2 linked regions of the Drosophila melanogaster genome follow. The protein of the gene in region 1 interacts with the protein of each later gene in a pairwise test. Each region holds a gene or a part of one and is shown on either strand. Other genes may lie near its edges. The genes, in order: Gdi and mEFTs.

What was found.
Region 2: the proteins of Gdi (region 1) and mEFTs interact in a two-hybrid assay, tested with the Drosophila melanogaster proteins (one large-scale study listed by BioGRID).

The regions. Positions count from the first base shown.
Region 1 is NT_033779.5:9,484,993-9,502,824, reverse strand, and holds Gdi (GDP dissociation inhibitor), read left to right. Parts: upstream 1-7,948; 5' UTR 7,949-8,209; coding exon 8,210-8,603; intron 8,604-9,721; coding exon 9,722-10,197; intron 10,198-10,279; coding exon 10,280-10,741; 3' UTR 10,742-11,649; downstream 11,650-17,832.
Region 2 is NT_033779.5:17,487,121-17,503,067, reverse strand, and holds mEFTs (mitochondrial translation elongation factor Ts), read left to right. Parts: upstream 1-1,961; 5' UTR 1,962-2,399; coding exon 2,400-2,576; intron 2,577-2,784; coding exon 2,785-3,033; intron 3,034-3,138; coding exon 3,139-3,669; 3' UTR 3,670-3,800; downstream 3,801-15,947. Other genes in the region: Dhc36C (dynein heavy chain at 36C), read right to left, coding at 782-1,006, 1,069-1,601; CG15142 (uncharacterized protein), read left to right, coding at 4,306-4,693, 4,749-4,981; qua (quail), read left to right, coding at 11,237-11,266, 13,166-13,375, 13,435-13,637, 13,687-14,611, 14,668-15,666, 15,731-15,928. UniProt on the Drosophila melanogaster protein: Associates with the EF-Tu.GDP complex and induces the exchange of GDP to GTP. It remains bound to the aminoacyl-tRNA.EF-Tu.GTP complex up to the GTP hydrolysis stage on the ribosome.

The sequences.
Region 1 (17,832 bases):
TCACACTGGGGCTTGAACTTTGATTTCTGAGCTGTCAAATGTGTCTGAAACAAGGTCAACTATAATTGGAACCTTCTTTCATATTCATATTCGCAAGTGTTTGAAAACCCAGACTGACTGGTATCTAAATATCCGCGCGTGCAATTTCCTGTTCCTTAAATAGATTGTTAAGCTACAGTAGTCGTTTTATATGCTCTAGCTATTGCCAATTTCAAATCTGACTTCCTCTTGAAACGAAATATTTGTATGATTCCAAGAACGTTCAGTTTCTTCGAATTTAAATATAACATAAAAATACTTGAATAAATTAAAAGGCTTAATCGCTTTACATTACGTGAATGCTGGTATTTGCGAAGGCTTATCATTTCGAGCATAAGTTCTTTAAATCATCAATGAAAAACAAAAGAATAACGCCCAATTGGCATTTAATTTAATATCCAATCAGCGAAGAACTAATTTGTGAAGCCATTTCGAATGGCAAACTTGCGGCAATGGCGTAATACAAATACCAAATATGTATATACATGTGCATATATGTACATACATCCGATTGCGGTGTCTATATATGTACGTTTTATATTTGTGAATACCCGCAGAATATTCAGTGGGCACAAGAAAGCTAAAAATGAATTTGGCACACGACCGAGTTTAGCTATACGTTTTCTTTATACGATTTAAATTAGTAAAATCATTTTGGGCAAATCATAAATCACATGGTGAAGTAAAACTTTCTTTGTTGAATTTTTTTTTTGGGTTTAAATTCACTTTTTTGTAGTTCTGCGCGTAGTTTTATAAGTCATTTAGCTTTCATTGAATTTTTGACTTTGTCATGGCTGAAAACCATAAAAAGACGCCCCAGACAAGAATATGAAAACCAAAAAGGAAGCCAAGTGTAATAGAGAAAAGAACGAAACTTTTACCATGTCTGTCTGCGACTTTTAATTTTCCTTTCTTTCCGTTTTACGAGCCACAAGAAAAGACTTTCGAGTGCCAAAACTTGATTTATTTACTAGCCCGCGATGGGTTAAACGACCTCAAGAAGGCGGCGTCCAGACTGATAAGTTTACTCCTGCCCCGGCTAATTAGTGGAAGCCCCTTCAGTGGCCAACTTCAAAGTGCATTTGTATCTGGATGTGGACGTATCCGTATCTGGCTTTTAGCTTTTGCGGTTGTCGATACTTCCACCGGCAGCAGCAATAAGAAAAATTGAAATTATTTTTAGCCACGCACATGCGAAATAAAACGAGGAGATAAACAATTCCATCAGGCCAAGCCCAAAACCGGGTGCGATTACCACAATCGGTATCAAAATAAAAAAAAAAATCAAAAAAAAAAGCGAAGAGAAACGGGAGCATTACGATACAGATAAAAATAAATGGCGACTGTGTTGTAAAGTTCATTGGATTTTCAATAGCAACAAAACACAGATGCCAGATGTCCAAGATGCTCGTTTGTCATTGTTATTGAACTCGGGCGAAAAACGATTGAAAACCCAATTGACGAGGTGAAAAACTCACTTAAGAATCGCCCAGCAAATAATATTTCAAATCGCTTGCACATTTCGCATTTTCATTTAAGTGCTCACTTTAGTTCATTCAATGGTCGACCTTGCATTGAAACCACATTTATGGCCCGGTCAATTATAAAATAATTATATATATGTACATATAAAATGGGCAGGCGAACAATATGTTAAGTAATTATTATAATTCGAGGCTCATATCTCTTTTTGGATACAATGCTAAGTTTAAGTCTTTCAAATATTATTGTATATGGGTCTCAAGTTTGCAAAATTAATTCAAAACAATTAAAGGTCGAGACTAAAGAGTTCAAAGGTAAACCATTATTGAAAACTCAATGCGCAATATGAAATTGTTTACCAATTGTTTCACGTTGTACAATTATACAAATCTATCAAAACTTGAACTCAACCATTTGGCGAAAAGGTGAATTCGTACCAATTGTTTACAAATACAATGCGCAGATATTTCAAAAATGAATTTTTTTTCAGAATGATTAATGCATTGCAGAACTTGAGGCACGAAAAAAAAACATTGAAATTGAACTATTATTTGTTTAAAATTTTTTATGAATGTCATTTTTTGTGTAGTTTGCTCTACTTGCATATTTATTGCTCGTACTCGTCATTAAGTTAAAAGCTAAATTAATTATTTATCGGGTTCAAAAGCACTTCGTTGGCAGCTGTTGTGCCAGTTTTCCAGTTAAGATATTAATGTTCGTACAACGGGGCGTATAATTGATATAGCAATCCGAGTGATGAATAATTATTTCGACCGATAAGAACACACATTAAAATATACAAATATACAAATTATAGTAACTGCGCAGCGCAATCGTTTGTTTAAATTTCTGACTTAAATTTAAAAGTGCTTCGGATCTCAATAAACTATTTTGTAAATTTCAACTGGCATGTGGTATATAAATGTTATCAAGTCAACTAGCGCGACAAATTGCACACAAATCTTCAGCTACATATACTCTCTATAAAATCGTTCGTATGCTAATTCTGTTGGCCGCCTAATTAAGGCATCTTTGTGAGACTGAACAATGGAGTTGAAAATATACGATGCTTCGGCATTTGACATGGGAAACTTCCAACACTCTGAGAATATTCGCGCCAACTGGGCAAATTTCAGGCTAGCAAAAACGAAACACCCATCTCCACAAAGGGGCAACAAGTTTCGCAACTAATTAGAAACTGTTGACGGGGGCGCCTCCACAGCTTGCTATTGCTATCTATTCAATTACATCGTCACCAGTTGACTGACAGGGTTAATTTTTTCAGATGGAGCAGAGGTCGTGACGTCGAATCGCAGTTGGGTATTAAAAAAAATATGTATATACTCTAAGCAAAAATATATTTAAGAGCCTAAAAACTTAAGAAATAAAATAATATCTCCATGTGATTATTCATTAGTAGCAACCGTTCATAGTGTTACATCTTTTAGAATTTAAGTTACTTTGTCATGTTGTAAAGTAAATCTTGATGTTTTCTAGTGTTGGTCTTGGTCTATCTTAACTATAATCTATCGAATTCACGCGTCTCAGAACTCACGCGCTCATCGCTAACTAGACAACAACTGTGCACCTACACTTAATATTCGTTCTGATTGAAGCTTTGACCTAAGCAAAGCGCCCGAGTCCAAATTAACATACTAATGTATTCAATTATTCGCATTCCCTCCTAATTTACCACGGTGCCAGCAGAGATCGATTGGCTTTCGATACGAACTAAGTAAGTAATAAAACAATAGGCCCTTGCCTGTTGCCCCCTTTTACACCTGCTCAATCGCAAGTCATTAAAGTTAATGGCAAAAAGTTGGGTATATAGAGAAGTTGGGTATAACAGAAAACAAGCAAAAGTACTTCGTTTTCTATGAACCAGAAAGTGCAAGACAGTAAAAACAGCCAATGATTTGAGACGAAAACAAGAGTACTTCTAAAAAAAATTATTATTCTTTAAAGTAATAAATCAATAGGTGCATATAATATGTACTTCTGATTGGCGAAAATCGGAGATTGCATTATAAAAATCCAAGATATATTGCACACTATGCGATAAGGAAAACAGCATTAACTTAGCCAACAATGAGATCATATTGATGTTGAAGGAGATCCATTGTTTGTGGTCAGCATAAATGCACAGTTTTATAGAGATACACACAGATGTTCTCATTACTTGTTCTTTGATCTTGTTTGGTAAACACATGTGATTTCCCTTTATAATATTTTTAGAATTTGTCAACGTCTGGTGTTTGGCAATAAACAAACCTATTATATGTTTACATAACAAAGTACGGCAACTTATTTGTAAAATTGTACACTTAGGTTTTTCAAAGGGAAGTGGAGACTCGCTTTACTTGTCACAAACAAAGCAACAAAGAAACTTGCGAAAGATAAGAAACACCTTATAAATTAAGTGATAACCGATAAGGCACAAATCATAATGACAGCAGGGAGTTTTACGATCCCTATACATGCGAATCGACTATACCCAATCGCATATTTTATTATCCATTCCATAGCCGAAAACTCAATTCGCAGTCGAACCATGAGAACGCAATGTGTAATCAATTAAGTTAGGCCAGGAATAAATAGAAAAAAAAGTTTGCTTGGAGGGCCAGCGATTGCTACAAATAAACCAAACGTGTGACTACGCCACTTGAATGTTCAGTATGTGAATATAGTTCATATATGTGTACATATGTATGTAGTATATAGTACTCTGACAGCTGACGTAGTGATAAGGTAACGTAGCTAAAAAGCCACGCGATGTGGCCAAGCCACGTACTTCGTGCACCCAGATACATGTGGCATTTTCGCCGGAATTGGTTTATCAAAACTCACGCGTTTATACGAACAATTCTGAATTACACGTATTCGATCTGCAGGAATGATAACTTCTTGTAATAGGTCCATACCCTTTAATCATTGACCGTAAGGTTAACATATTTGTTGAAGAGTATGTTACATGTTATATTCCAAATTCTTTTTCAAGTGTTTATTATTTCAATTTAATTCAAAGCGCAAGATAAAAATATCAGAAGACCAGTAATAGGGTATCCCGTAGTCGAGGCAATCAACTATTACGTTCTTTTATGTGTCATTCCTCTAAATGGAAGTTTTCGACTGAAACTCTATGATTTACCCTTAAATTTCAAAATGGATTGAATAAGAACATAAGTACATATTTCTAAATCAAATGTAATAAGATTTAAATCTCATAAAACAATCTCAAACAACTGCTAAGTGGTTGGCTTAATAACTTTGATGATTGCGTGCACACATGTTGTGTGACTAGTATTTAGGCTAAACAATCATTAATTAGCTGATCGTCGGTATTGGATTATAAGGTCGGGATCAATTTGGGTTAGAAAAGCATTTAAACAATGCATAAGCATTAGTACGTTATGCGATTTCAGATTAACAACTTTACTTATGAGAAAATCAAGACTAAATACAATTTCGTATTAATTTTGTGCTATTTTAATGGCGTTAGGTGACAACTGTATGAGACACATGGCAAACAGTGGGTATATTTCGGCTATAAACATCGAATGAGCACTAAGCCAACCATAATCGGCGGCGTTAAACTGTAAAAACAGGAGATAAGTCGACTGCTTCCGCTGTTTCGCTTTGTTTCTGTCTCTGATTCGTCTTTTTGCTATTTCGCTTCGACTGCATCGCGAATTGCGGATTGTGGACTGCGAATCGGAGTCAATTGCCTCAAGCTCTGTCTTAACGGTACCTGGAGCAAACGAGAGCGATGGAGCGTCATTGTTTGGGGGGAAGGAGGAAGAGTGGGGGCGTGCGAGGGAGAGCGACTAATAGATTGCATGAAGCAGAGACAAACGAGCAAACAACGCATCAACAAACAGTTAAAAGTTGTTGTTTGCTCTCTGTCTTTCTCTCTCCGTCTCTCAACTGCAATTAGCAAACGAGTAACGTCAACTACCGTTGAACTCAATTGAATAGAAGACGAAAGGGAAGGGAGGTTGATGAAGAAATACCCAAAGACACCGTACAGTGGGTAAAAATAAAACAAAAAAAGGTCTTACAAATTAAATTTACAACACGAAATTAGAGTAACCGCTCCTCTTTGCCCCTTACAACGAATAAAATGCAGAGCAATAAAAAGAACGGCTTGGTGGAATTTTAAATATGTCACAGGTAAGAGAAATTATTTTTTCCCGCCAGGTAAGCAACGGAAATTTTTAACAGCTGCTAGCATCCACCGAATTGCTGATCGGCAACCATGTTTCCAATTTAGTCTCAACATTTCAGTTTAAATCAGCATGCAAAACATCTATGTATAAAACTCAGTATTTATTTTATAATGGCGGCAGATATTTATTCTTATTGATTCTACGTTCTATGTTTAATAGACACCATTTTGAAATTTAGAAAAGTTGTGAAACGTGATGTTAAATTCGAATTCAATTTTACCGTCTTAAGAAAGATGTTATGTCTCTAAAATATACCCTTAATATATGATTTTAGATGTATTATATTTTTAACCATGAGTGCCAAGGAAAACTAATTTTTAGCTCAAAATAGATTTTTACAATGTGGGGGTCGGTTTCACACCGACCTCGCATTTCACTTGCATTTTCTAGTCCCACTGTGCGCAGTGAGGCCAAGCATCTTTACTGCATTACAGTGCAAACGAATCCAAAGCCGCAGAAAAACAAAAAGCAAAGTTAAAACCGCGACTGTTTGAATCTATTTGCCTTTTATCAAATGCCGGTAAGACAAAGAGAGAGAGAGATAGAAGGGGAAAGAGGATGGAGAAGCCAGAACGATCGGAGGCTGTGTGAATGAGTGAGCGAGATGGATGCGAGCAGGTAAAAAACCCGTCGTATATTTTGGGAGGATGGGGGCCGAGGGCGGTGGGCGGGGCAGTTGGTCTGCAACGCCTAACTGGTTCTTGGCAACCAACTTGTTTTTTCTGTAGATTGCCGCCGTCTGTGCTTTATTATGTTTTTTCCCTCCGACTTTATGCCTGTGCAATTTTTAATATGGCAACTTGATTTAAACGAAAAACTTACCCAATAAAATCGTAGACGTGGATTTATGCTTGTTTTTCGATCAATTCAATTGCCTGCGGTTATTTTATCCTTGCCTTCGTGGGGGTTTTGTTTTATATTTTTTGTTTGAAACTATTTTTACACGGGGATGAAAACAACTTTTCAGCATGGCAACAATACAAAAATGTTGCAGCACATTCAAAGCAACAACAAGAACAACAGGGAGGTAACATATGATAACCGAGGTCAGGCGGAAAGTGTGAGCGGGACAGGAGATTATCTTTTTGTTTTCTATTTTGTATGTTTCCTCAGCGAAGGAATTACAATAAATAATTATTTCCCAAAGACTTTATTTCACTTGGAGCACAGCATAAAAAATCCCTGAGCCGCTCACTTTTTCACTTCCTTTTGTTGGGGTTTTCGTCTTTTTTTTCGAACTTATTTTTTGCCACGAACTCGAGGTTTGGTTTGTTGTTGTTGCTAAGAATTTCAATACAATTATGGCCCAAATAGCATTTTCACTTTTCCACACAAGCACGCAGCCACCGCACGCACACACACTCACACAAGTACACAGTTGTTTGGCTCCGTTTTAAATGAAAATATAATCAAACATTTACATTGCCGTGTGTTTTTGCTCCACGAAAATGTATGATTATGTATGATTAGTTTTCCTTGCTCGCTGCACGCGCGAAAATCCGACGAAACAAAGAAACAAGAAACGACGCGAAGAGAACGTAACAACCTAAATAAACCCGATACAAAAATCGCGTCCGAATCGGCTCGTCGTTTCAACCAAAATCACCAGTAAAACTTTGCAGAGGCTTCGGGATGATGTGGCCAGACTCGCTAACTGTGCTAACAGCTGTAAGAAGAATGCCCCTAGTTTCGGAATAAATGTCTATCGTGTCTCCGATAATAAATGTACGCAAATGTTGGTTTTCTTGAAATTATTACATACATTGAAAAGTCTAATTGCTTATATTGTATTCTCTTTAAAATAAAAAGTAATGAACGAATGCGTGAGATATGATATAAATAGAGATCTCCAGTAACTTAAAACTCGATAGGTAAACAGCGTTCAAATACTGTTTACAATAATTGCTGAATATCTTTTTATATTTTATATGATCGATCTGTGAATCCTCCGTTTTGTTATTTTATAATGTCTTGCTTTATGCAAGACCAACACATGCATTTAACAAATTTAAATTGCAACTATAAATTTGCGCGCGCGACATGCAGCCCTGAAATGTCAATAATCTAGGAAATAAACTTTTGCAAAATCATAATCAATTCAAAAATCTTGCACACACGTCTCTAAATCTTTCGTACATTAATGCTCTGTGTGCAAATTAAATATCTTATATGCTTGTTTGGTTATTTCCTTATTTCCATGTACAATTAGCAGCCGATAGCAACTCTTTCTCATGCAGCCCTGGGCATGTACGAAAACGTAACGTAACGTGACCAGCAAACGGCGTGACGGCAAACGGGCAGCGCAAAGCGGACGAGCGAAAGGCGAACGAGTAGAGAAAAATTATTGAGCGCAGAGAAAAGTCCACCAAATCGAACGTCGCAGCAAGTGAAAAGGGCGAAAACCGGATAAAAAAAATATATAAATTACTGTGATTGCAATATATAAATAAGTGCGATCCAATATGAATGAGGAATACGATGCGATTGTGCTAGGAACGGGCCTCAAGGAGTGCATCCTCAGCGGGATGCTGTCCGTGTCCGGCAAGAAGGTTTTGCATATTGATCGAAACAAGTACTACGGCGGCGAGTCCGCCTCGATAACGCCGCTGGAGGAGCTCTTCCAGCGCTACGGACTGGAGCCGCCCGGCGAACGATTTGGGCGTGGCCGCGACTGGAACGTGGACCTGATCCCCAAGTTCCTGATGGCCAATGGCCAGCTGGTCAAGCTGCTGATCCACACGGGCGTCACCCGCTATCTGGAGTTCAAGTCCATCGAGGGCAGCTACGTTTACAAGGGCGGCAAGATAGCCAAGGTGCCGGTGGACCAAAAGGAGGCCCTGGCATCCGATCTCATGGGTTCGTTAATAATGCTCTTTTAAGTCCCGTTGCCTTTTTGCTTGGCGGTGAGCCCCCCACGAAAAATTGTGCAAATTACCAGCTGTGCTTGTGTGTGTGCGTGGTTGTATGTATGTATTTTCGTACTCGACTGTTATCTGCTTCCCCTCTCTCGCCCGCACCACTCTCTTTCTCTTCTCTTCTTTGTCTGCCTTTTCACTCGCTGGCAAAGCTCTTGTTGTTGTTATTCCCTTTTTTTTAATGTGACACGTATGTGTGTGCCGAAAAACAGTTGTTTTCTTCGCTCGCCAAAGAATTTCTACCAAAGTTTCCCCCACACATATCCATTTCCACACCATGTTTGTTGGCCCAACTATTATCGCCCTATTCCGATTGGAGTCGAAATTTTAATCGCTCTGCGCTGATTCATACACCTGCCGCTAATTGGTCGCCTCCATTTTACACCTGAATTTCGCTTTGTTTGAAATTTAAGTTTTTCCCTCTTCTTCGTGGCAGCAATGCAATTAGCTAAAACACGCTCTATTTATTTATGATTGGCTCTTGAATTTTTCCATTTCAATTTTTACTTAGTTTTTGCAACCAGGTTTTTGGCCAGGCGCATTGAACCCCCTTCACTTTACAGTGGAGATTGCCTATAAACGAAAACATTTCATGACTTTAGATGTACTACATTTTTTAATTTTTGTCTTTAATTATCAATAATTTGCATATAAAATAGAAATTTTCAATGAAAATGTGACTATTAGGTAGATTTTACTTCCGTTTGTAACAATACCTATTGGATGTCTCAATTTGCTAATTGAAAGTTAAACACCTTGTCCATGCTTCACTGTGTCCGCATTACACATATGCTCGGAATGACGTCATGGGGTGGCCAAGTGGTTTCTGATTGTTGGTGGTGTGTCCTCCGCCCCCTAAATTGAAGGTTTCCCACTGTAGTTGCGTGCTGTTGTCCCAGTGAGTGTCTGTATGTGAGTGTTTGTGGCATGCAAATGAAATGGAAACGGGAAACTTGAAACCCTCGGGCTCGTGCACTCCCTTTATATGCAGATCCTGAACCCCAAACTGACCAATATGGCATTATGGATATACATATATAAATGTGACTTTACTTGCAGGTATGTTCGAGAAGCGTCGCTTCCGGAACTTCCTCATCTACGTGCAGGATTTCCGAGAAGATGACCCCAAGACCTGGAAGGACTTTGACCCCACCAAGGCCAACATGCAGGGTCTGTACGACAAGTTCGGACTGGACAAGAACACGCAGGACTTCACCGGCCACGCCCTGGCCCTTTTCCGCGACGATGAGTATCTGAACGAGCCGGCCGTGAACACCATCCGGCGGATTAAGCTCTACTCCGATTCGCTGGCGCGTTACGGCAAGTCGCCCTACCTTTATCCCATGTACGGCCTGGGTGAGCTGCCCCAGGGATTCGCACGTCTGTCGGCCATCTACGGCGGCACCTACATGCTTGACAAGCCCATCGACGAGATTGTCCTCGGCGAGGGCGGCAAGGTGGTGGGAGTGCGCTCCGGCGAAGAGGTCGCCAAGTGCAAGCAGGTCTACTGCGATCCCAGCTACGTGCCCGAGAAGGTGAGATTCACAAAAGATTTGTGTAAACTAGCCTATTAGTCTTTTGGAAATAACCATGTATTACATTTCTTTTATGTGACAGGTGCGCAAGCGTGGCAAGGTGATTCGCTGCATTTGCATTCTGGACCATCCGGTGGCCAGCACCAAGGATGGTCTCTCCACGCAGATTATCATTCCACAAAAGCAGGTCGGCCGCAAGTCGGACATCTATGTGTCGCTTGTGAGCTCCACTCATCAGGTGGCCGCCAAGGGTTGGTTCGTGGGCATGGTCTCGACCACCGTTGAGACCGAGAACCCGGAGGTGGAGATCAAGCCTGGCTTGGACTTGCTGGAGCCGATCGCACAAAAGTTTGTAACCATTTCGGACTATTTGGAGCCGATCGATGATGGATCCGAGTCTCAAATCTTTATTTCGGAGTCTTACGATGCGACCACGCACTTTGAGACTACTTGCCTGGATGTGTTGAACATATTCAAGCGGGGCACTGGCGAGACGTTCGACTTCTCCAAGATCAAGCACGAGTTGGGTGACGAGGAGCAGTAAACGGGAATGAAGGCCTCATCTGGTTATGGTGCATTTGGACAGCTCAACATCAGCCACAAACATCGTAGATCGTCTCAGCGTCGTGGCCAAACCTTAAAAAAAAAAATACCCAAGATAAGAAAACCCAAAATAAAAGCCCAAAAAAACTAAAGAAAACCGAAAATCCAGAAATTGTATTACGAAAATGCTTTCCATCGAGAGATGAAGTTTTAGATGTGAAACGAATTGCTTGCTTCGCGCAATATTGGATATGCCTAGAAAATATATATATATATATACCAATATAACATAAATTATACAACATGCAGTCGCGTATATATGTACGTCTATATAAATGTATAACTAAGTGAGTGTTAGGCAACTAAATCAAATTCCACAGATTCAGCTTGTGACTCGAGCAAAAGCGCTAGACTCGACAAACACTCTCCCATTTCGCCGATAGGCCAGTCAGTCAGACGATTACGCTTGGACTTTAGTTGTACGAGTATATAATAAAGTATATATATATATATAAAATATGACATCGTATATATATATTATCTATGTATATTGCCCTTCTGCTTGGTTTTTCTTTCTTTTTTTTTTTTGTGATCCACCCAATTTGTGTGGCTGCCAAGGCTCCAAACGAAAGCATAACACATACCTATAAACACGACACAAACTCTTACACATGCATAGTGCAGCATTATAATTGTAATTGTAATCCCCAGAAAGAAATCGATGGTATTGAAAATGTAAAACAGTCGAAAAAGTTCATCGCAGCATATACCCAAAAATAATGCAATTGATCGAAGCGCGGCAAACGACATATAAAGAGAACAGAACCTAAGAAGTTTGTCAATGGTATAGAGAACTATGGTATTCCGCATTTTCAGAATTTACATTTTTAATAAAAATTAAAAAAATATAAACATTTTTTTTTTTATTTACTATTTTTATATTGAGGGATGTTATGTTTGCTTTCCTTTCCCCAAAAGTCTGGTTTCTTTTCGGATTAAGGAATCTTGTCCTGGAGTTTTTCCACCGACTCATTTTATTGAACGTTTTCAGTTTCCGGTTCCGTTCAAAATGTCACTTGAGTTTTATAGCTACCAGCTTTTTATATGTCCTGGAGCTTTTCACCTTTCACACAGACTCATTTAATTTGAGATTTTTAGTTCTGGTTCCAGCCAAAGTGGCACTGAGTTTTGACGTCTTCAGCTTTTGTAACAGCCAAATGGCGGCAGATTTAAACTACATCAGTATGCACTGCAGTCCACGTAGTGACGAAGCGCACCATAAGTGTGTGCCAAGGCGGCTACTATATACACACAGAGAAATGAAAATCTGCTGTTTGACAGATCCTGGAAGAATATGGAAAGGATTTAGACGTATTCTTTGAGGTGACTTAGGATGGTCTGGTCTGTAAAGGAAATGGAAGGGATCTGGCCTAATTCTGGGTGGGATCAAGGAGGTATCTGTGTGGTGTCTTGTTAGGAAGGGGGACCTCTTAGTATAGAGACTCGGTTGTAAATAAAAATCTTTTCCAGACTCGCCATCCAAAAGTGACGACGACAGTCCGGGCGTTTCAGAGTTTGTTAGCTTTTCGCCGGATTTGAATCACGCAGCCATAGGGTTATAGTTATGACCAGGACTCCTCGTTGCCTCTTTATGTGACACAATTACGAATTCCGCAGCAAGTGTTTGGGATGCATTTGAAATACTTGCCCCCTTCCCCTCACCCTACTCACTCCGCACAAATCACCCCTTATGGCCGTGGTAAGTGGGAAATTCTTATTGAATTGCATGTGGCATGCCACACGAGTCGAAGGCTAGTTCGCTCACTTTGGGGTCCTCGTTCTTCGTCCTGCATCCTGTCGATGGCCCCAGGAATGTGCAAAATGCTGAGAATGCCGCTCTCCATTCCTGTTAGTTTTAATGCTGTCACTGACAGTTTGTGTTTTTTTTTTGTCCGCACTCCACTTCACTTTGCCCCGGCTTTTATTTTCCCAGCCCGCCGACGACGACCTGTCCAACAAAATGCCGCCAGTATTTTTCCAATTTCCGTTTCCCAGAAAAGGCAAAAGTGCAAAGACGTTTCGCATTATTTCGCTCTTGCCCAGAGTCGTTGAACATTGAACTCGGTCGCAAGTGCTCAGCTATTCTAGAAGTAAGCCTTACGTCTAGGCATCAACTATTCAAACTGATTTACTTTTTTACAATTACACATTCGCAATTGATTTTGTGTATAGAAATTAAAGTAAATTCTATAAAATCCCAGCTTAGCATTTACAAACCTAACAAGAACTGCACTCATAAATAATTCTAAGCTGGAAAGTTTTTGAAGCCAAGTCCGATGGACTTATGCATTATATCATTTGACCTGAAATATTGGAAAATCTCCTACGAATTCCTGTCACATTTGCCATCTGCAACTCTCTAGTTGCGGCTGATTTGTCATCGCTCCGAGGAATGGGCCCTAACTACTTTCACCATCCAACCCCATCTATTGTGGCTGTTGTCTCTGGTGATGATGATGATGATGATGATGATGGCATGCGGCTGATGTGGCCAAAACACGTCGTAGTCCCGATGCTGGTCAAGTCTTTCACCACATTTTTGCTGCTCCTGCTTCCGTCTTGACTGTGGTTTACGTTCGCTCTTTTTTTTGTTTTTTTTTTTGTGTATTTGCAAGATGGGTCGAAGCAACGAAAAAAAAGGAAAACAACATGAAAAAAGCGTAGAAAAACCGCCGGAGAAGACCAAAATTTGTAACTGGGCAAATTGAAGTCAAAACTTTGGCGCTCAGCGCCGCATGCAAGTCACATACAACAGCGGGTTGGGGGGTGGAGTTGTGCTGGATTGGCTGTATAATGGGCGTGGCTGGGGGAAGGGGCTGCAGCAGGGCATTTGGGTGAAGATAAAGCTATGATGTCGACGCAGCACTGGCAGGCATGACTAAGCTGCCAGCCCCTGTCCAAGTCTGCATCTATATTCGCGTCCTTGTTGTTACGGCTCCTGTTGGCCATGGTCAGGCTAACGAGCCCAGCTCTTACACTGCGAGAAATCGAAGTTATTCAAGCAATCGTGATTGCTTACATATCAGGCATGTAATAATAACATTAGCTACTTTTTTAATTAAGTTATAATAATAATAATGTCTCTTGTTATGCTCCGAGTTAACAAACTTTTTATAAGTGTACAAACTGATAGATAGTAATATTATCTATAAAATTGATCTATAATTTAAAACAAATATTTATTTTCTGTGCATGGGATCTTAATGGGTGGCAAAAGTGGCACCGCGTTGGGCTCGTAATAACAGCCAACCGCAAAGGGGCACACACAGATACAAAACACACACGCACACACACGCCCAGAAAACAAAAGCAACAAAAAGATGCCTTTGGGGGTCAGTTGACGCTGTTGGAGCCATGATTTGGCGGCTTAAGGACTATGGACTACGGACTACGGACTACGGACTACGGACTACGGACTACGGACTTTGGCCATGTGCATTGGTCTAAATTGACGCAGTGGACATGGCCGGGATAAATCTCGCACACGCAGATACATGAGCATTAGGTCAAATTGAATATAATTCTTGGGCTTTCCTTACAGCGTGATGTGATTAATTATACACGTTATGAATATAATGCAGCCGACATGTTGTCTCCTTCGCTGCCATCATCGTCAGCCGTCTCATCATTATCCGCAACGACATTCTGCGCTGAAAAGCTTCAGACAACAGCAGCAAAGAGCGGGAGTGAGTACACTGGGCAAAAAAGATTTGATTGCAAGTTAATTGCATTAAATGAACATATCTCAAAGTTAATGGTTTTGCACATTTTTACGAAATTTTTAAAGTAATTAAATGAAAGGATTTTAATTTCTTCCGCTTACTTACATACCATATATGTGTATTATAATTAAGAAAATGAAATATTTGCACACGTTGCCCACTTTACTTTTACTTTCAGTGGAGTTTTCCTTTTGGCTGCTTTTCAATTACTTGCATTTCCTATTCCCATTGTCACGGCTGCTGTTGCCTTGCATTTTCTTGCCTTTGGCCCACGAGCTTGTCAACAACTTCATTATCGCTTGCGACACTGTGCAACATCATCCGCAACCCCAAAAACCCCACCACCACCCCCACCACTCAACTATCTCCTTACTAGACAAGCAAATTTAAATCAATTAAGTAATCTTATTGCCACTGCTGCAGCTTCTCGTGTTGCTCCTCTGAAGATGCCTTCTGCCCTTTGCCATTTCGCTGCTGCCTGCTTTTAGGCACTACAAAACACTCGAACATACACCGAAAAAATTTGCATTTGCCAAGTTTGCAATTTAGCTATGTTAAAGCGGGGCACTTGCATTAAAATTCACTCGAATTCAAATAAAAAAAATAATAATTTAAGAGTCAATTGAAAACGTATAAGATTTATGTGACACGATTTATGCTTGCTTTAGTTTTTCATTCCAAACCATGTGCAATAATCTCAGTTAATAGCTTATATAAATTTCTCTCTGTGCACAGACAAAAACATTAACACACGCCCACACTTTTTATGTGTCAAGCATTATAACTGTGGCCATTTCTTCACATGTGTGAACGTCTGGCTTTATGTGTGTTTATGTGTCTGTCTGCGTTTGTTGGCTGGCAAACTTTTGCTGTGTTGCATATTTTGTGCAGATTAATTAAATTGCTGGCATGAAGCCGGTAACCAAATGGTCTGGTGGAAGGCAAGGGGCTAAAACTGAGAGGGGGGTTGGGGGGCGGGAAACTCTTTCGGCAAACTACGCTCACAGAGATTGAAGTGCATTATTAAATGTTTTTTCTTAATAATTCATGGATGAGAAAACTAAACAACAACAACAACACTTTCTCCCTTCCCATCGTTGCTCGCATTTTGAGAAAAGTTCGGTTTTCGCAATTAGTTAAAAAGAGCGGCGTGGCAAAAGTTTACTTTGTTTTCAATGAACTCGGGGAAATGCTTGTAAGTAATTGTGGTTCATTACGTAATAAAATATTAAGTAACTGTTCAATTAAATGTCTTGTGTGTACGTTTATATTGACAATAGTTGTACAAACAAAATACTCTTTTAAAAGCGGTAGAGAAAGTCGTGTGTTTTAAAAAATTGTTTAAAAGGCTGAAAAGATACAAGCTAATGGCAAAGTTCTGTATATTTAGAGACGGTTTTTGTTTAAATTCTTTTTTTGCCAATTTTATACCAATCCCTATGATTTTTTGCACAGACACATGAAGTTGAATGTAATAAATATATGACCATGTAAGCTTACCACGTTTTCGCCAGTTAATATTATGTTAACGCTTAACAGAGAAACAAGAGAGTTAAATCTGTTGTTTCTTTAACATCCTTTTATTCGCCATTGATTCGTTCTGTTATTTTAACATGAAAAATACTGATGGGTGGCATAAATATCTATGCAGTTTGTCAAGAAGACAAAAGAAGACAAAATTTAGATTGTGGTTTAAATTGATAATGATTTCTTAAGCTCTTTCGTTGAACCATCCCTGACCATATATGGTTTTTGATTAAGTGACAGTTTATTAAATGAGCTTGGCGTATAACTTAATATAAATCACTTATGATTAATGGAGAGTAAGCCGATCTTTTGAAACCTTTTGCAGTGGCCAATACGAAAATGTTAAATAATGGAGCTGTAATAACGGGAAATTTACCCCTTCAAGTAGAAGCAGTAAGAAATCAAAGAGCTTTATCCCCGCTCTGTTAAGCGCCAGCTAACAGCAAAAGAGAATTTAGTGTTAAAGCGTAACATATGTTACGAACAGTAAGGATAACAGCAAACATTTTTACATTGGCTGATTATTTGTTCTTACAACTTTGTAATTTTCTATAAATATATCGTATTATCTCATTCGGTTTTAATTAGAGCCCAAAGTTAATTTCTTACCGGATAATCATAGCTTATACTATTTATGAATAAATTATTGAGTGCGCTTCTTTCCACATGTAAACGGAGACCAAGCATGGAGCCTTTACGCCCTTTTGCCATTTGTTAGCAATTAAATGTATTCACTTGACGAAGCAATTTTCCATTCACAGCTTCCAAAGACGTTTCGCAAAGGTAGCCTTAGACAATAAAAAGTCTTGGCCAACTTTTCATATGACCAACAATGCCTACGAGCCAAACTAAGGGCGTTGCTATGAGAAAGGTGGTTTGAATTCAAAAGAAAAATAAATGTATAGCCTTGGCATTTCAAAAGTTTATAAGAACGTATACATTTGCATTTTCGGAAGTATTGTTCATTGAAGTAGTTATCGTCCTTGAACGCATTTGCTTAACTTATTTAATTAACTTCAATTTCTTCTAACCGCTGCACGAAGTGATTCTTCGTAAGTCTTTTAAGTCTTGGATTCGGCATTTGATTCACGACGACTCACTGCCGATGTCTCACGAAGTGTCCTTCCACGGTGATAGTGTTGTAATCCGTCTTTTTAAAATACAACGGCAACTAGTGCATATAATCTAGTAGAATGATTTTGGGGCAAGGACTTTAATTTTGCTGATTTTTAGCTTAAAACATAGTTTAAGCTAGAAGCAAATTTCCCAAGAAATTCCAATTCCGCTTACTATGTATCTTCATTCAGCCGATTCGCGCAGCAACTGACACTTTATGAAGTATTTATCTTACTTTACCCAACGCTCAATGTGTTTGTTCTTATTCATGTTACCTGGCTTGTTTACAACTGTCACCAAAACCAACAGCACAACGCCGTGTGGACTCGTCTTTGCCATATTAAGTGCCATATAAATTCATTTACCCACACAGAGAATCGTCTTTTCACCCAGTTTTTATACGGTTGTCCTGGCATTTGCGCTGCGAATGCATTTTAAAAGGGCTTGCACGCATCGCACCCCCCCTTGCCAGCCCCCATAAGTATGCAATAATTTCGCCCTGGCTTAGGAAGTCGACTCCTGGCAATTGTTGCTCCCCTGGCCTGAGTTATATCGACGACGACAGACGGACTCTGCGACACTCTGTAAATTATCCTGCAAGCGGCACAAGATGCAATGGCCGCTTAATTGCCGTGCCGTGCCGATGCCATTATAACGATAAGCCACA
Region 2 (15,947 bases), 8.0 Mb from region 1:
GACTTTCGTTATTTTCGTTATTTTCCTTATTTTCTTAACGCCTTTCACCCCCCACCCCCCCTGGCAAGACAACTTTGTCAGTTATTTTCATAAGATTTCGCGCGCGGTCGACTCAAAGGGCAATTCATTTCGTTTTTTTAATCCGCAATAAAGCCAAGGCATCCGTGAATATAAAAGTCCATATGTGGGGGCGTGATCCAGTTTGGTTGGGCGTAATTGCATGTCAATTGCACGCTTTTTTTGCGCCAAATGCGTTGCTGGCGGTTACAGGCAAGTTACACACAACACACTCGCATTCAATTATAGCAACTTTTTCTTTTACCCATTTTTTTTTTTTTTTGCCTGCCTGCCTGCCGCCTGCCTCCCTTTTTACAATGCGCACAATTTACGTGGCACTTGGTGCGGGTGTAATTTATTTTAATTAAAAAATTTGAATTTCCCACACGCTCGGAAGTTTCTAACTTTAAATTCCCGCCCTTCGCTTGCATTGGTTTTTCAACTTTGTCGAACCAAACAACGCATGCATTTCAATATCAATTACGCTACTCTGATTTTGCCTCTCAAAATCCATTTGGCTTAAGAGAAGTTGCAATTTCATCTGCATTGCTGTATTTTTTTCTTTTTTTTTTTTGCATAGAAAAAGCTAACGAAAAACGTGAAAAATGTTTCTATATTCTGCCTGGATTATACACTTTTAACGGATCAAAAGTTTCATTTGCCATTTATCGAATAGAAATCGAAGACTTTTATCGAATTTGACATTAGCATCATGGAGACTCACCGATAGCGCCAAAAGTTCGTCATGGATTGCACCTCCCGCCGCTCGGCGGTGTCGTATTTGCCACCCACGCCCTCCTTGGTTAGGCGATCGAGGACCGTGTGCCGCAGGACGAAGTCCACAACGGCCTTCTTCATGGCGAACACGTAGTCCGCCCGGACTTCGGCTATGTTTTCATTGAGTGCCGTCTGCCACTTGTAGAGCAGTGGTGGCACAAGATCGGTTATCCTGCAGACGGAAAGCAGTTAGCAAAAAAGCAGATACATTTGAAAGTGTTCAGTGGAACGCACCTCTTGAGGATCTTCTTGCTCAACGGCGACACGTGAATGGTGTCAATGCCATGCTTGATGTAATAGTAATATCGCAGAATCTCGCGCTCCTCCTGGTCGGGAAAGGGTACGGCGCACTGGGCGGCCAGCTCGGGATCCTGGTCGTCGTCCATGTGCAGGATGAGCTCCACCAGCTTGCGGCGGAAGTGCTCCCGCTCCAGTCGCATGGTCATGTAGTTGGCCTTGGCCACGCCGCTCTCACGCTTCTTCTGGCGTTTCTTCTGCTGTTTCTTCGCGCAGAGTATGTTGTCCGGCAGGTCGGATTTCATCTTGCCGTCCAGCAGGGAGCTGGCGCATTCCGGCATGTTCAGTTCGTACCACAGGCGACGCGACTTGTACTCCGGATTGGCCTTTGACTGCAGGATGCTCTGCAGCACATCCGGCTTGGGTCGCGTGTACAGCATCTTCGACTTCTCGCATAGGCGGCGACCGCCGCATATGGACGTGAAGCTGGGGATGCTGAACTCCCGATTCGGATTCTGTCTGCCCTGCATGTTGAAGCCTGAAATCGGTTCAACGTTCGAATCAAAATGTGACTACAGAAAATGAAAATTGTTTTCAATAATTGTTTTTGAAACATAAAACGATTGTATCCCGCCGAGTTATTAATCAAAGTACTATTTAAAGTAAAAAAAAACACTAAAATATTAATTAAGAAAATAACTACGTGCGCCAGAATTAAAAAAAAAACTATTTATTAGGTTTAAGTTTTAAATATTTGGTTTCAATCCATTTCGAATCGGTTGTAACCGGTAATAGGTTGTAACATCCACTAAACGTCATTTGGCCAACGATAGCGTCGCCACTATCGATAGTCGCTTCGCAACAGCTGTTCTCCGCACACGCGCCCTACCGGCTTTTTTGCCATCCCTAACAGCCGAATTGTGCAACACGGAAAATTGTCAAAATTTTCAGTTTCAAAATTAATTGCTCGAATTAAGCACACAGAAAAGCCGAAAACTAAACTATCGACGCTTACCAGTCGTTCACCTATCGAGGCACCACACTCGCTTTGGATTTATTCGCGCCGCAACGCGATTAATTTTTCTTGAACCGAAGCGAACATACGAAGGAGTTGAAAACAAATGCAAATCTCACACAGGCTTTTCCGTTGTTTAGAATGAATTGATTTTCCGGGCAACTACTACATAGCGACAGGTCGGAAAACGGAAAAACAAACAAGCCGGCGAGTTGCCCTTGACAGCAGGCAAAGAGCAACAATTCAATTCGCACACAAATCACGCTAGAAATCATTTTGGCCTCCCAGTAAATTTCGGAAATTTTTTGGAAAAATGCTGCTACAAAGGTTTTTCACACGCGCACTTCACTCCACGCGGCAGCTTTATGCCGGCTCTGGCGGATCCGGTGGCCTGGAGAAGAGTGCCCTGGCGGCGCTGAGGAAGAAAACCGGATACACCTTCGCCAATTGCAAGAAGGCGCTGGAGAAGCACAACAACGACGTCGGATTGGTGGGTAGTTGGCTAATAGTTTTATTGCAAGCGGTGCAGTGAGCTTTCCATTACAAAGAGCACGAAATGGGGATCTCTACATTTTGAAAAATTGCTGATTTTTCTATATTATTATGTAATATATATAGCTGCACCGCATGCAAACTCCTTTGTGATCAAAACACATCTGTGCTAATCAACTCACCTTGCCATCATCTCGCTCTTGCAGGCTGAAAAGTGGCTGCACGAGCAGGCCCAGACCCTCGGCTGGTCGAAGGCCACCAAGGTCGCAGATCGAGCCACTGCACATGGTCTGATTGGAGTGCTCATCCGCGGAAACCGGGGCGCCATGGTCGAGCTGAATTGCGAGACGGATTTCGTAGCCAGGAACGATACCTTCAAGCGGTTCGTTGACCACGTCGCCTGCATGTGTCTGCAATACACGGACTTGACGGACTTCGATGGAGATCTGTGGAAGGTGAGCGAGATTTTTATGGGAAATGTACACAATATTTGGATCAGAACCGGTTTTGCATCCATTCCTAAAGAAATTGCTAATTAAAGAATGTGCATATCCTTTCAGCTTGGCTTTGATGCGGACGCCCTCAGAAACTTGCGCACGGAGGAGGGACGCACGTTGGGCGACCACCTGGCTCTGCTGATCGGCGCCATCGGGGAGAATGCCACCATCCGGCGCGCATTGTGCTTTAAGGCTAACAACGACCTGAAGCTGGTGGGCTACGCCCATCCCGCACCCACCAATGTGGGCACCACGGAAGGCATCACCCAGGTGGGCAAGTACGGAGCGATCGTAGCCTACCGATCCACGCACCCCCTGCTGGACTTTGAGTTTCACAAGAGCATTTGCCAGCAAATCGTGGGCATGAAGCCGACAAAGATCGGCGAATATGACAAGGACAAGCCGGCGGAGAACAAGGACGATGAGACGTGCCTGATTCACCAGGAGTATCTGCTCGATGCGGACAAGACGGTGGGCGAGGCTTTGCAGGAGCACAACTGCGAGATCGTCGACTACCATCGCTTCGAGTGCGGAGAGCACACGGAACGCAGCCTGGAGGCGATCATTCGCTCGCAGCACCAGAGCAGCAATTAACTAGCCATTAAGCAGAGTCTAGAACACTAAATTGTTATTAGCACAACAGCTGAAGATTGTTAAAACCGAAATTCTGGACAATGTTCTGGTCAAAATTTGCATGTAAAACAAGTAAAACAACCATTACGATCAGATCTCCACCTCTCTTATTTGAATACGCCATACCCCATGAGTCATGGCAAAAAATTGGGGTGACCAAGGAGAATGCGCCTGCGCAGAACGGGAAGCACGCTTGAGCGGCTTCCGGTCGCTGAAGCAGTGGAACCCGCGGGAAGAACGGGCGAATGGACAACGCCAGCAGAATGAACTGTTTACAAACGTGTTTTTTTGTTCTGCTTCCCGTAATTACCCACTTGGTCATGCGATAGCCCAAAAGAAAGAGCAAAAAGAAAGGTTTTTAGCTTTGGGGGCAAAGGCAAAAACCAAGTGAGGGTTGGGTATGCCACTTGCTTGGGGCTCATGTTAAGGAAATGGGAGTACGAGTAGATTTGGCCAGGGAGGAAAATCAAAATAGAAGAAATGGTTTTCCAGCCCTAAGAAATTTGCAGCACTGAAATATTAGCTACTAAGTAGGCCTGTCAAATAAATCCCTTTCATTATCAACCATCGATCGTCGTTAGAGATTCAATCGCCAAAATGGACTACCTGGACATTGAATCCTTCCGCTCCAGGTACAGCGACATAACCGTCACGGCCGTGCCATCGCGCCCCAAGGCGGACGAGGAGCCAGCAATGGACACCAACCAGGAGCTAGCAATCAAGACGCATGTGCCACAAGTGGAGATAACGAGGGTGAGTGGAGCCGCTTCTGCTGGCAGTAGCTCCACTGCGAATGCAGCGATGATGCTGCGCAACAGGCAGCAGACAAACAGCGCCGCACTTGCCTACGCCAACGAGTACAAGGAGGTGATGGCCAAACTGGAGTACACCAAGTACATGCAGGCCCAGTTGCAAATAATGTCGGCGGCAAACGGAGGAGGAGGTGGTTTTGGCATCGACTCCGATCTGTTTGGCACATCTATAGGTAAGCAAATTGATAAATGTAACAATAGTAGTGGTTAAGACCCCACACTTTGCAGGTCTCGATGAGAACGCCAACATAGTGGACAAGTACTCCGATCTACTCAATGTCCTGGGGGAAATGCGCACCAATGTGCCGACCACGATGGCGGGTTTAAGGGCACCCAAGGAGCGCATGCAGCGCGATATAGCCCATGCCAGGCTGAAGGTGCGCCAGTGTCTTCAGCTCCTGCAGCAGGCAGAGGAGGAGACCGATCAGACTGACTTCCAGGGTGCCCCAGGCCAAGTGTGACGTCATGTGCATATGTACGTATGTACATCTCTGCATTGTTAACGACACCTCTCCGGGATTGCGAGTGCCACGACAATAAAAGACTAGAATAACAAAAGCCATCGGGGAGTTCTGGGAAGCCTCGCTGTTTATGGGTACGACTATGATGGTGGGGCGATGGTTTTGGAATAGCCAAATACTATGGCCATGTGACGGCGATAGTAGTAGCCGGCATTCTGACACAAGCGAGCAGCGAAGCGCGAAACTTGTCCACATGGATGTGGAGAATGCTAACCAACTGTTGATATCCTGTAATTGGTTTAATCAATTATTGAACTCATACGAAATGGGGTACTTACCAATGATCTGATGCACATTCGTACATCACTTTTTTAAATATCTATGTTCCTATGTTCATCCCTTTGCACGTATGTATATTTACTATGTAAGTATTCTTATTGTTTTTAAAGAATGTGTTATGCACACATGTAAGTTAAAATTTGTATAACATTTCCGTTGATGATTGAAATTCCTACCAATTCAAACCTGTTAGTCAGTATTTATTATTTTGCAGACATGCACTTTCCACATCTGGAATTTGCAACTAATGCCTGGCAACTGTAATTATCCAACTCTTTCTCATTCCGTTGGTGTACAAACACTTATAATTGTTACCTACGTACATATTTATAATTAAGCCGACCCAATGGTCGAGCATACCCTTTCAAATGTTGGCCATGGTCAAAGTGGAACTCGAAAGGGTCACATTCACCGACGTCGGCAGAGAAGCATACATACATAGCAAGTACATGTACATGTGTATGTCTGTATGTTACACTTAAGTACGTATGTATGCATGTATGTAACTGCGATCGGAGCGCTTCAATTGAAGTTTTTCACGTTCAGTCGCCAGTCGACTTTTCACGGGTTAAGTTAGACGTTAATGCCACCGATCAGCGAGCGGATCGCACGACTATATCCTTTTGTTTGACTTCCGCTTGACGTTAATTCGGGTTAATTTGTTTGGAAAGTGCGCAAATAAAGTTGCAGTGCCAAAAGACGCGTTATCACTTGTGTGGCGCTCTCTTTTTCCCACTAACGGTAAACTGTGCGAAGAAGCGCGCGAAAGCGAATTGCAAAAAAAGGCGGCCAAACAAAGCGAATGCCAAAAAGGTGACAGCCATAAACACAACAAATAGTCCGCGAAGTGCGAAAAAGTTAATTAGATTGTTTGCTTTTGGAGTTGCAACAACAATTGCACCTGCCCCATTCCATTTCTACACAAAAAAGAAACAAGCGAATACTCTAATTTGCATTGTAGCGCAGCCGCAAATTGGACCACAAAAATGCCGCCGTTTAATTTCATCAAGCAGGTGAGTGCAAATTAATTAAATAGGTGTTGCCACATTTTATGGCGCGAAATAATTAATTAAGCGCTTTGCGGCAGAAATCTGCGCTGGCGAGATGCATATGCAGCTGAAGCTGAAATCGATTAAAGTTAGGTAATCAAATCTACATACATATGTACATACAAAGGATATTTAGTGCTAACTTGAAGTACAGTGGTAACTCAAAGGGTGCACGAGGATAAGGAAGTGAACTTTAAGCCAAATTGATAACTTGATCGTGCTAAAATGAATTTATCCTTAAATCATTCGACATCTTCTTACGCATTAAATTCATATTAATTATTGCATCAACATGCCACAGGTGTTATCAAGTCTATCAAGGTAATGTCTCTGATAAGAGCTCAGCACTCCCGACCTTGCATCTTCGAATCAATTAATTGCAGATTCACTACTGTTCCAAGAATAAAAGTGAGCTGGGACAAACAGATAATTAAGAGCACACTTCGTGTATCTTCACTTTCCGTTCAATTCGAGACGATGGATATTGGATACCAATTTACCATATCTTCGAAAGACAAGCGGCACACAAAATACGTGTCTAAACGTCGCACTCCAAACAAAGAAAATGTTATACGGGAAATGGTAAACCAATTTCAAATGGATTCGGACCAAGACTAATGAAATGCACAACGAAAATGGATTCATTCGTGGCGCCCAGCTGGAGACCCCGAGATGTGGTGACCCCAAAAGAGATTATGCGTAATTAAGCGGGCTTCTGGCGATGCTTGAAGATAGCTTCCGGTGATCAAATGTCAGAACAGAAACGAGATCTTGGGAGAACAACGACGCATTAGCACGAAACCGAAGAAGCAGCATCTACATATAAAGCCAAACAAACCCATAAAGGTGGGAAGAATTTCTACGCAACTGGTGGCCCAACCCGTCCGCAGCTTTCTTTATGTTTTTTATGGCTTTTTCCCCACTAATTTTGTTTTGAATCTTGGTCTTGGCCGATGGACAGTGGTTGGTTCAGTGCTACAGATTATGATTATAGCCCGGCTATCTTTTAAGGGCCTGCCTAATGAATTTCCATGCAAACGCTTTTCCCAGTCGTCGTGTGATAATTAAGACGAATGACCCCTTAGTTAGAAAGTTATTGCAGCACATCTGCTGTGTTTGTGTTTCTGTATCTTTGTGTTATTTTTTTTTTTTTTTGTTAAATATATTATCTCAGCGCAGCTGAACCCGAACCGAATCTGGTTATATTTGCATTATTCAGTTTTTAACTGAGGGTTAATTGCATGTTAAGTAACAGTTAAGTAACCGTTAGGCTGGATTTATTTGCTTATGACTCCCAAAATGCTCAGCTTCCAGCGCAATTGTTGTCCAACTTTTCACTTCCTACGATTTGAATGAAGAAATTATTTTTGAACTCTTCGTGCTTAATTCACCCACACTTAACTTTTTTTTTATTTTATTTTTTTGGCGTGGGAAGCCTACAATACCAAATTGCGGTTTCGAGTGGCAAACAAAAAGCGGGGAAACAAAAACGACAAAAAAAACTGGAAAACAACATTTGCGGTAGCTACTTCGTGAAAAGCGCAGCATAACTCGAATGCGGCTGTGGAAAATCCAATTCGATTTCAATCCAAAGATCGAACGCCTTTCAAAACTATTATGATTTGTGGTCTCCAGCTTTGTTCCCGCCTATCGCAGCTAATTAACCATTTATTAATGCTAAATCAAAAGCACTGCCAGCCAGTCAAAACACCTGTTATTGTTATTGATATTCGGATTTTGCCATCCGATCTGCCGACGTGTTTGGCCTCATAAAAGGCTACAGGTGGCAAGAAGTCCAATTAAAAAGAGCGTTGTTGCAACGATCTTCTTTTCCTGGAAATATAAATCCTTAACATAGCTTTACTTTAATTAGGTATTTCTTTGCTAAACATCTTGATTTACTTGTCTATCGCGCAACGTAAGCTAATTTGGCCTAAAAATAATTTTAAAAATATATGTATATTCTATTTATCTTGTTTGAAATCTGTAATTATAAAGAAATTATAAAGAAATATGGTTAATATAAGTTATTTCCTTTAAGCTTAACTATAAGTATCTATTAAAATACAGAAAATAAATGCTGTAACTTGTATAGATACAACTTTTAATTGTTCAGTTGCTAGCCATCCCGTTATGTGTGAGTTATGTTAAGTTATACGTTTTTTATGTCTTTATCAAGTGTCGGGTATATATTTAAAATGTCATGTAAAAATCGTTTTTCGTCAGTGATATATGGCATAATATTTCCAACCCACCTCCACTTAACAATACATCGATCATGCCTCAAACTGCCAGTGGAGATTCCCCCCATTGAGAGGAGTCTGTCTGGGACCTGAATCTAGACCAGAATCTGGATCTGGAGCGGCTGGCAATTAATGTGGTCTGCTTTTAGCCCGAAGATCGAGTGGCCACTGACAGCAGCATGCTTGCCATTCCTTGGCCATCTTCAGAATTGGCTAATGAAAAGGCTGGAAAAGAGCAAAGATCCATTGGCACAATCACCGCTAGAGGAAAACATTGGAAAACAATGAGAGAAAAAATAAAAAAAAAATAAGATTCAAAAGCGGTACTTTGCCGGCTGGCCGTTTCCCGTTGGCAGTTGCGGAAAATGAAAATGCCACAAGTCGATGTTGCATTATTGTGGCGCTTTTCAGACGCTTTTCCAGACTTTACGTAAATGTCGCGTGTGGCCACAAAATGGTCTTAATGTGTTTCTCGCAACAATGAGAGAGGCAAACAACAATCAAATGGTTTGCTGCCTTTTTTTCGGCTTAAAAGGAAAAGTCAATTGGCCTGGTCGTTCGTCTTGTTGCGGGTTGACGTGTGTAATTATCATAAATCGTAAATTGCAATTTTTCATCATGCTAAAAGTCGCACATTTTCAGCTGTATACAAAAAAAAATGCTTTGCATTTACAATTTACATTTTCATATACAATTGCTTTCATTTTTTAGTTATGTTTCTCGCCATTTCCCCAGTTCACGCCTCAACCTCAACGGTTGATTGAACTTGTCAGAGTTTTGAGTTGGCCAGAGTTGGGGAAAAAACATCATGGAAACATGAAACATGGCTAGCAAAGAGAGTTGTGTTTTTTGGTTGGTTTTGAAAGGCATCGCATTGTCTTGCCAAGATGCGGATACGTGGATATGTGGATACGCAGATACGAAGATACAAAGCTACAAAGATACACAGATACACGGTTCTCTGGGCCAGACCCATTAGTGTCATTCACGCTTTGGAACACACTGGAAAACCATTTCGACTCATTACCGAGTCATACACAAGACATTTTCGACTTAATTGAGTCGAAACTCGGCTCTGAATTGCTAAACAAATCGCTGCCAAATTGTTCCCCCGAAATAATTTAACCACATTTCTCCGGCGCAGTTGGTACACCCCATCCTCGATCCCCAAAATCGCCCTCCAGTCGTGTTAATTATGGCCATCAAATGACCGTCTGCCAATCTCCAAACATAAATCATAAAAGTGAGGACTCAAGCCAGTCGAGCGCGTCAGCTCGGTTGACAAAAGCCGTAGGAAACCCGAGAGATGCAAATCGATGGAATGTACAACACCGATGTGGACATAAGTACTTCCCCGCCAGCCGAGCTCCACTGTTTGTGCTTGATTGCCTGCGGAGAATGTCGGTGCAGCAGAAAGTGTGGAGTCAGTTTCTGGATACAAAACGATGAAGTGGAGTTCACCTGGTAGAAGAATCAATGCTCTATTAATGGAGCATCGAATGTTACTAGTTCTAAAAAGGTTTTTTACGCATTTAATGCATACTTACATATTCCTTAACGAACTTTAATGCTATAGTTCACATATTTTTGAATAAAGTTCAAGCTTTATGCAAAAATGCAAACATAAATGAATGAACTAGCAATTTCACTTATGATTTTTCAACACATTTCTGAAACCCTTTGATATCAAACTCCTGCCATTAGCTGATGGAGCCAGCAAAACTCGCTCACACAAGCAATTGTTAATCCGCAGAGAGCTAATAGAAGGAATTAGCAAACACCCCGTAAGAATTTGTTTAGACCCCGTTTGCCAGCCTGTTCCCCTTAGCCTTTAGCCCAGAACTCAGAGCTCAGAGTTTCGTTGGCCCAAGACCAAGAGCATGAGCCAGGCCAAGTTAAGGAAACGGCCAAGAAACCGCAACAAAGTGCGCTGCGCTTTCTGCTTTTCTCAGCCAGTTCGGTTGGAAACTGAAAGGTTGTGGAGAGGAAAACCGACAATCTAACTGATAATTTTCATTCATTTCTGAGTCACACAGTCAGTCGCTGGTGGTGCTTCCCACTTGCTCATTTGGCTCGAAGCTGTTGTACAGCGATACACCAAAGCTGGCCTGGCCATAAACTTGGAGCGCGGCATTTCGAGGCGGCCAGTCTGCAGTTGGCTTTCTGCTGGCAAAGACGCTTCGCAAGAGACTCGGGAAAATCTGCTGTGGAAAAAAAAGAACGCGAATCGCGAGTGTCTGTTAAAACGAAAACGAATCGAATTGAATCGAATCCAGGCTAGCATTTGGCTTAACTTTCAGTTTCGCCTCTATTTTGGCTACGTTTTTTGGGATATCAACACCCCCATTCAAAATTTTTTTCGAATTTTATGTATCGTGATTTTTTGAGCGAACCGATCGCTCTCAAAACGCTGCTGCGTGTGTGTTTTTGAAGTGAGTGTGCGGCAGCGACATTCGCTTTTCAAAAGCGCTGGCAAAACGAAAACTCGCAAGGATTTCACTTTGAGCTGCGCTGCTGCCGGCTTCCATCGGAATTGCCATCGGTTTTGTGGGGAGGGGGAGACAAATCAAAACTAGTTCAAGGCAGCTGTGCTGTATCTTTCAGATACAGATACATCCGCGCACATGGAGCTATCGCTGTCACCAAAAGAAACGGTAACTACAGGCTTTTCATTATGCATATTTCGCGTCTCGAATCTCTCCCATCAGCTCTCCTATATTTACCAGTATCTTGGCCAGCCTATACAAGTTTATTTAGCAAGTTTCAGCTGTTAATTACGAGCTGGCAATTATTTGTTTATCAATTACAATCAATTTTAGCGCCTGACGATGGTGTTTGCCCAGGTCTTGTAAGAGATTTGTTGACACCATTATTAGGGGGGAAATTAATAAAGATTTTCGCAAGGAAATTGACAGTCTTTTATTTGATTAAATCAATTGGGCAAATCACTTGCGGCAAATTTAAAATTAATGTATAATTCCTTGTAATACTCAATACTTCTTCCTTAAGTAAAAAAAAAAGGGTTCGATTTCCAAATGAACTTCTAAATTTTCATACCTTGTGCAGTAAAAGTAAGTGTGGTCCAAATTCTTCAAATGTTTAAAACCATCGATGGCCAGCAATTAAACTTTTGAGCATCATCCATCAAGTTAATAGCCTTACCGCAAGGAAAGTAAAAATTTAACACAATAGCTGTCTTAAGATAGATGGGTATCTGAAATTATTTTTAACATTCTATTCAGAACATTTCGGCGATCAGCTTTCGCTTAGATTAATGCTGATAATTGGCGGCTGTGAAAGTCTCTGCTGAAAACAAAGTTTAAAAAAAAATGTTATAATTTGCTAAGCGCTTGACAGAGAAAATTGACTTTTTGTGAGAGAGCATGACAAATGTAGTTTAGCTGTCGGCAGCGAAGATCAATCAATCATGATGGAGCCAGAGAGCTGGAAAACCTGGTTAACCCAAGCGCCCAGTTAAAGTAATCCGAGTTATTTCACCATTCGCGCAGGCGACAATTAAAATGCTTTTATGTTATGTGGTGTGTGCAGCGCATTTTATGCATTGCTTATTTATGAGCAGACCCAGTAAAAGGCAGTCATTAACTATTGTGATTTCCATGAAATGTCATTTGGTGGGAGTAGCAAACGCTGCCAGGCGAAGCATGAACTCGTCTTTGGTCACTGAGCACGCCACCATGTAATCACAAATGAAACGCGGCACACCAGACTCCGATGTCAAAACATTAATTAGCCAAAGAGGCAGCCTGCCTATTGACCCCAAACCGCTAGCCGAGATCACGATTGAAATGAAGATGAAGATGAAGATGCAGTGCGTCTGTGCCTATTGTATGCGTATATGCAACCACTTTCCACTTTGCTGCGTTCCATAAATAAATAAAAACCTAATGTTCGACGGCGGCCAACAAAAACTGGCTGCACCACCAACGTGATGTGGTTGGATGTGGTTCACGGCCCGCCCCTGTTCACTTTTGGTTTTCACTATCACTTGCGCCTCCTCCAATCGGATGCAGAGCACTTCTGCAGACGGGTTCGGGTTTGGGGTTTCTGGTTTTCATTTTTCTTTTGCTAGTTTTGAGCAATTTCTTTATCCTTGGCGTTGTGTCTCAAGTGTCTCATGACAGCAACAATTGGCGATCGTTTGAAAGGTGTTCAATGTCGTGGCAAGTGCTGTTCATGCAACCTGATTGTGACATTGTCACCAACTTGCAGTGAAAACGGGAGCACTGAATGGTAATTGCACATGAAATTTCGTTTAATAAACCTGACTTATTCGATTGGTTCGAGTTGCGTGCCTTTAAGTTGAAGTGCATAATCTCAGGAAAATCGAGAAAAGTAGCCAAGAAAAGGAGTGTCTTTTTCCCATGTAATTTTGAACTCTATTTTCGGACTAAATTAGTAAATTAAATCATCATACGACTGTGTTCCCTTCATAACATATTAAATAGAATACGTAACATCATAATATACCATTAAATAGCATTAAATTCAATTGAACGATCTAAAAATCTTATTTACATATTTACATATTTAAGGAGATCCGTCCCAACACCATTCCGGACTTAAAGGTGGATGCCACATTTCGGAAGGTGGCTAAACATGCGATTACCTTTGCGATTTGGAAGATAGACGAGGATCGCCTGGAGGCGGTACAAAGATCACATTATGGCACCTTCTACGATAGCTGCGCCTACATTATCTATGCAGCAAGTTTGTCGGGGCATTATGCCAATCACGAAACCATCGTAAGTAGTTGGTTTGGCTTGTGTTTCAGCAAGGTTTTAACTAATGCTCATGTTTACAGACACGCGAACAGAAGCCGAATGTGAGTCTTGAGCGATATATCCACTACTGGCTGGGCAAGAATGTTAGCGAGCAGAATCGATCCAATGTTGTTCATAAAATCCAGGAGCTGGACTCGTATCTGGGAAACATATCCTCTATTTACCGAGAGACCCAGAATCTGGAGAGTGCGAGATTCCTTTCGTATTTCAAGAAGGGTTACGAGTGAGTTAAAGTTCTCTGTTCTCTCTCGCTGGGAAGGGAAATAATACAGATTTCGTTTCAGTGTTCGATCGGGAGCACTAATAAGCGCGCCCCAGAGGCCACGACTTTTTCAATTGTACGCCCGCAAATGGTTGCGATCCATTGAGGTGGCCACCATCGATTGGTCGCACTTTAACTCGGATTACGTAATGGTCCTGCAAACGGATAATCTTACCTACGTCTGGATAGGGCGCTCCAGTTCAGGAATTGAACGACGAAGTGCCCTCGACTGGGTCCAAAAGCACTGCAGTGGATCGCCAATCACTATAGTCGATGATGGATATGAGCAGGCCATGTCCCAGGAGCACAAGGAGCTGTGGAACACCATGCTTCCGCTAAAGAAACGCATGGTCTGTCAGGCCAGTCAGTTGGTCAGCGAATACGCCGACTACAATAGCAATAAGTTCCGCATCTATAAGTGCAATCAACGGGGAAGGCTGCACCTGGATCAATTGGATGTGGGCATGCCAGCAAAAGATGATCTAAGCGATGCCCATGGAGTCTATTTACTGGACAACTACGGCCAGAGTATTTGGTTGTGGGTAGGAGGCCAGGCACCGCAGGCAGATGCCCTTTCTGCCATGGGAAATGGGAGAGCTTTTGTTAAAAAGAAGAAATATCCGGATAATACGTTGGTGGTGCGTGTCCTCGAGGGTCACGAGCCCGTGGAGTTTAAGCGTCTCTTTGCCAACTGGTTAAATGTTTGGCAGGAGAACACCAGGGGACATAAGCCAGTGTCCACAAAGTTTGGAAAGCTAGATGCCCATTCCCTATGCGAACGCCCTAAAATGGCTGCAGATACACAGCTCGTTGATGATGGCAGGGGTGAAAGAGTAATCTATCGTGTCTTCGGAGATCAGGTGCAAGAGGTGCCCATCTCAAAAACGGTTGTGTTCACCACCAATGCCAGTTTCGTGGTCAAGTACAGCGTGCAGGTAAGATAATAAGCTTAAGTTCTGTGTACAATCCAATAAATTCACTTCATCTTCAGTGCGCCACCGTTGTTCCCGCAGATTTGGCCTCCGTTGGCATTAAAACAATCATCTACCAGTGGAATGGTTCGGAGGCCTCTGTAGAGTCCATTTCCCGGGCGGACAAGTTCGCCAAGGCCAGTTTTGATGGGCTCAAGGAGCCTGGAATGTTTGTACAGCTCTATGAGTTCGATGAACCACCGCACTTCCTTCAGATCTTCGAGGGAAAACTTATTATCAGGCGCGGTCAGCGTACCGAGATGCCTTACAATGGTAACTCCAATGCCTTGCTGGACACCTTTCTGCTGAAAGTTTATGGCGATGCTAGCTACAATGCCAAGGCTGTGGAGGAGACACATCTGTCATCGATCAGCTCCAAAGATTGCTATGTGATCAAAACGAATCATGTTTGGGTGTGGTGCGGGCAAAGTAGCACGGGAGATGCCCGCGAGATGGCCAAAGCAGTGGGAGCTCTGATGGGGGAAAACTCTCTGGTCCTCGAAGGCAAGGAAAGTAAGGAGTTCTGGCAATCGGTGGCCATGTACTTCAACCAAACTCTAGTGATCAACGGAAATGGGAACTCATGTTCCAGCAGCACCAGTAGCAGCAGTGGCGCCGGCAGCATGTGCAATGGTAGCTCCAATGGTGGTAACATTTCACCCACTCTCAGCAATAATTGTTACCTAAACACCAGTGTTCCGAGTAAACCGAGACCTCCTGTACAACTATTTCTGGTATGGTGGCAACAGAGTTCGCTGAGATACGAGGAGATTCTCGGATTCGATCAGCAGGATCTCAGTTCGGATTGCACCTATATTCTGGACACTGGGAGCCTCACCTACGTCTGGCTGGGATCGCAGGCCCCAAACCAGGAACGCTACACAGCGATTGCCCAAAGTTATGTCCAAAATGCTCCATTCGGACGCAGATCAGCGACAGCGTTGGCCGTGGTCAGGCAGTTTCAGGAGCCAAATGTTTTCAAGGGATTCTTCGAGTCCTGGCAAAACGATTACGGCAAGGTAATCCATAACAAAAGGGCTCCAAGATTTCAAATGTTAACCAACTTATTTTGTATAACTTTAGAACTTCCATTCCTACGAGAAAATGCGCAAGGATCTGGGAAATAAAGTGACCAGCAATTGTTGCTTCGCAAGCGAAGGATCGGCTCTAATCCTGAACAACAGACAGAAGGACTTTGATGGTCACAAAAAGTATCCATTAACCGTGCTCATCCAGGAAATGGATATGCTGCCACCAGATATTAATCCGCTCAAGAGGGAGGTGGGTTCAACTAAACATA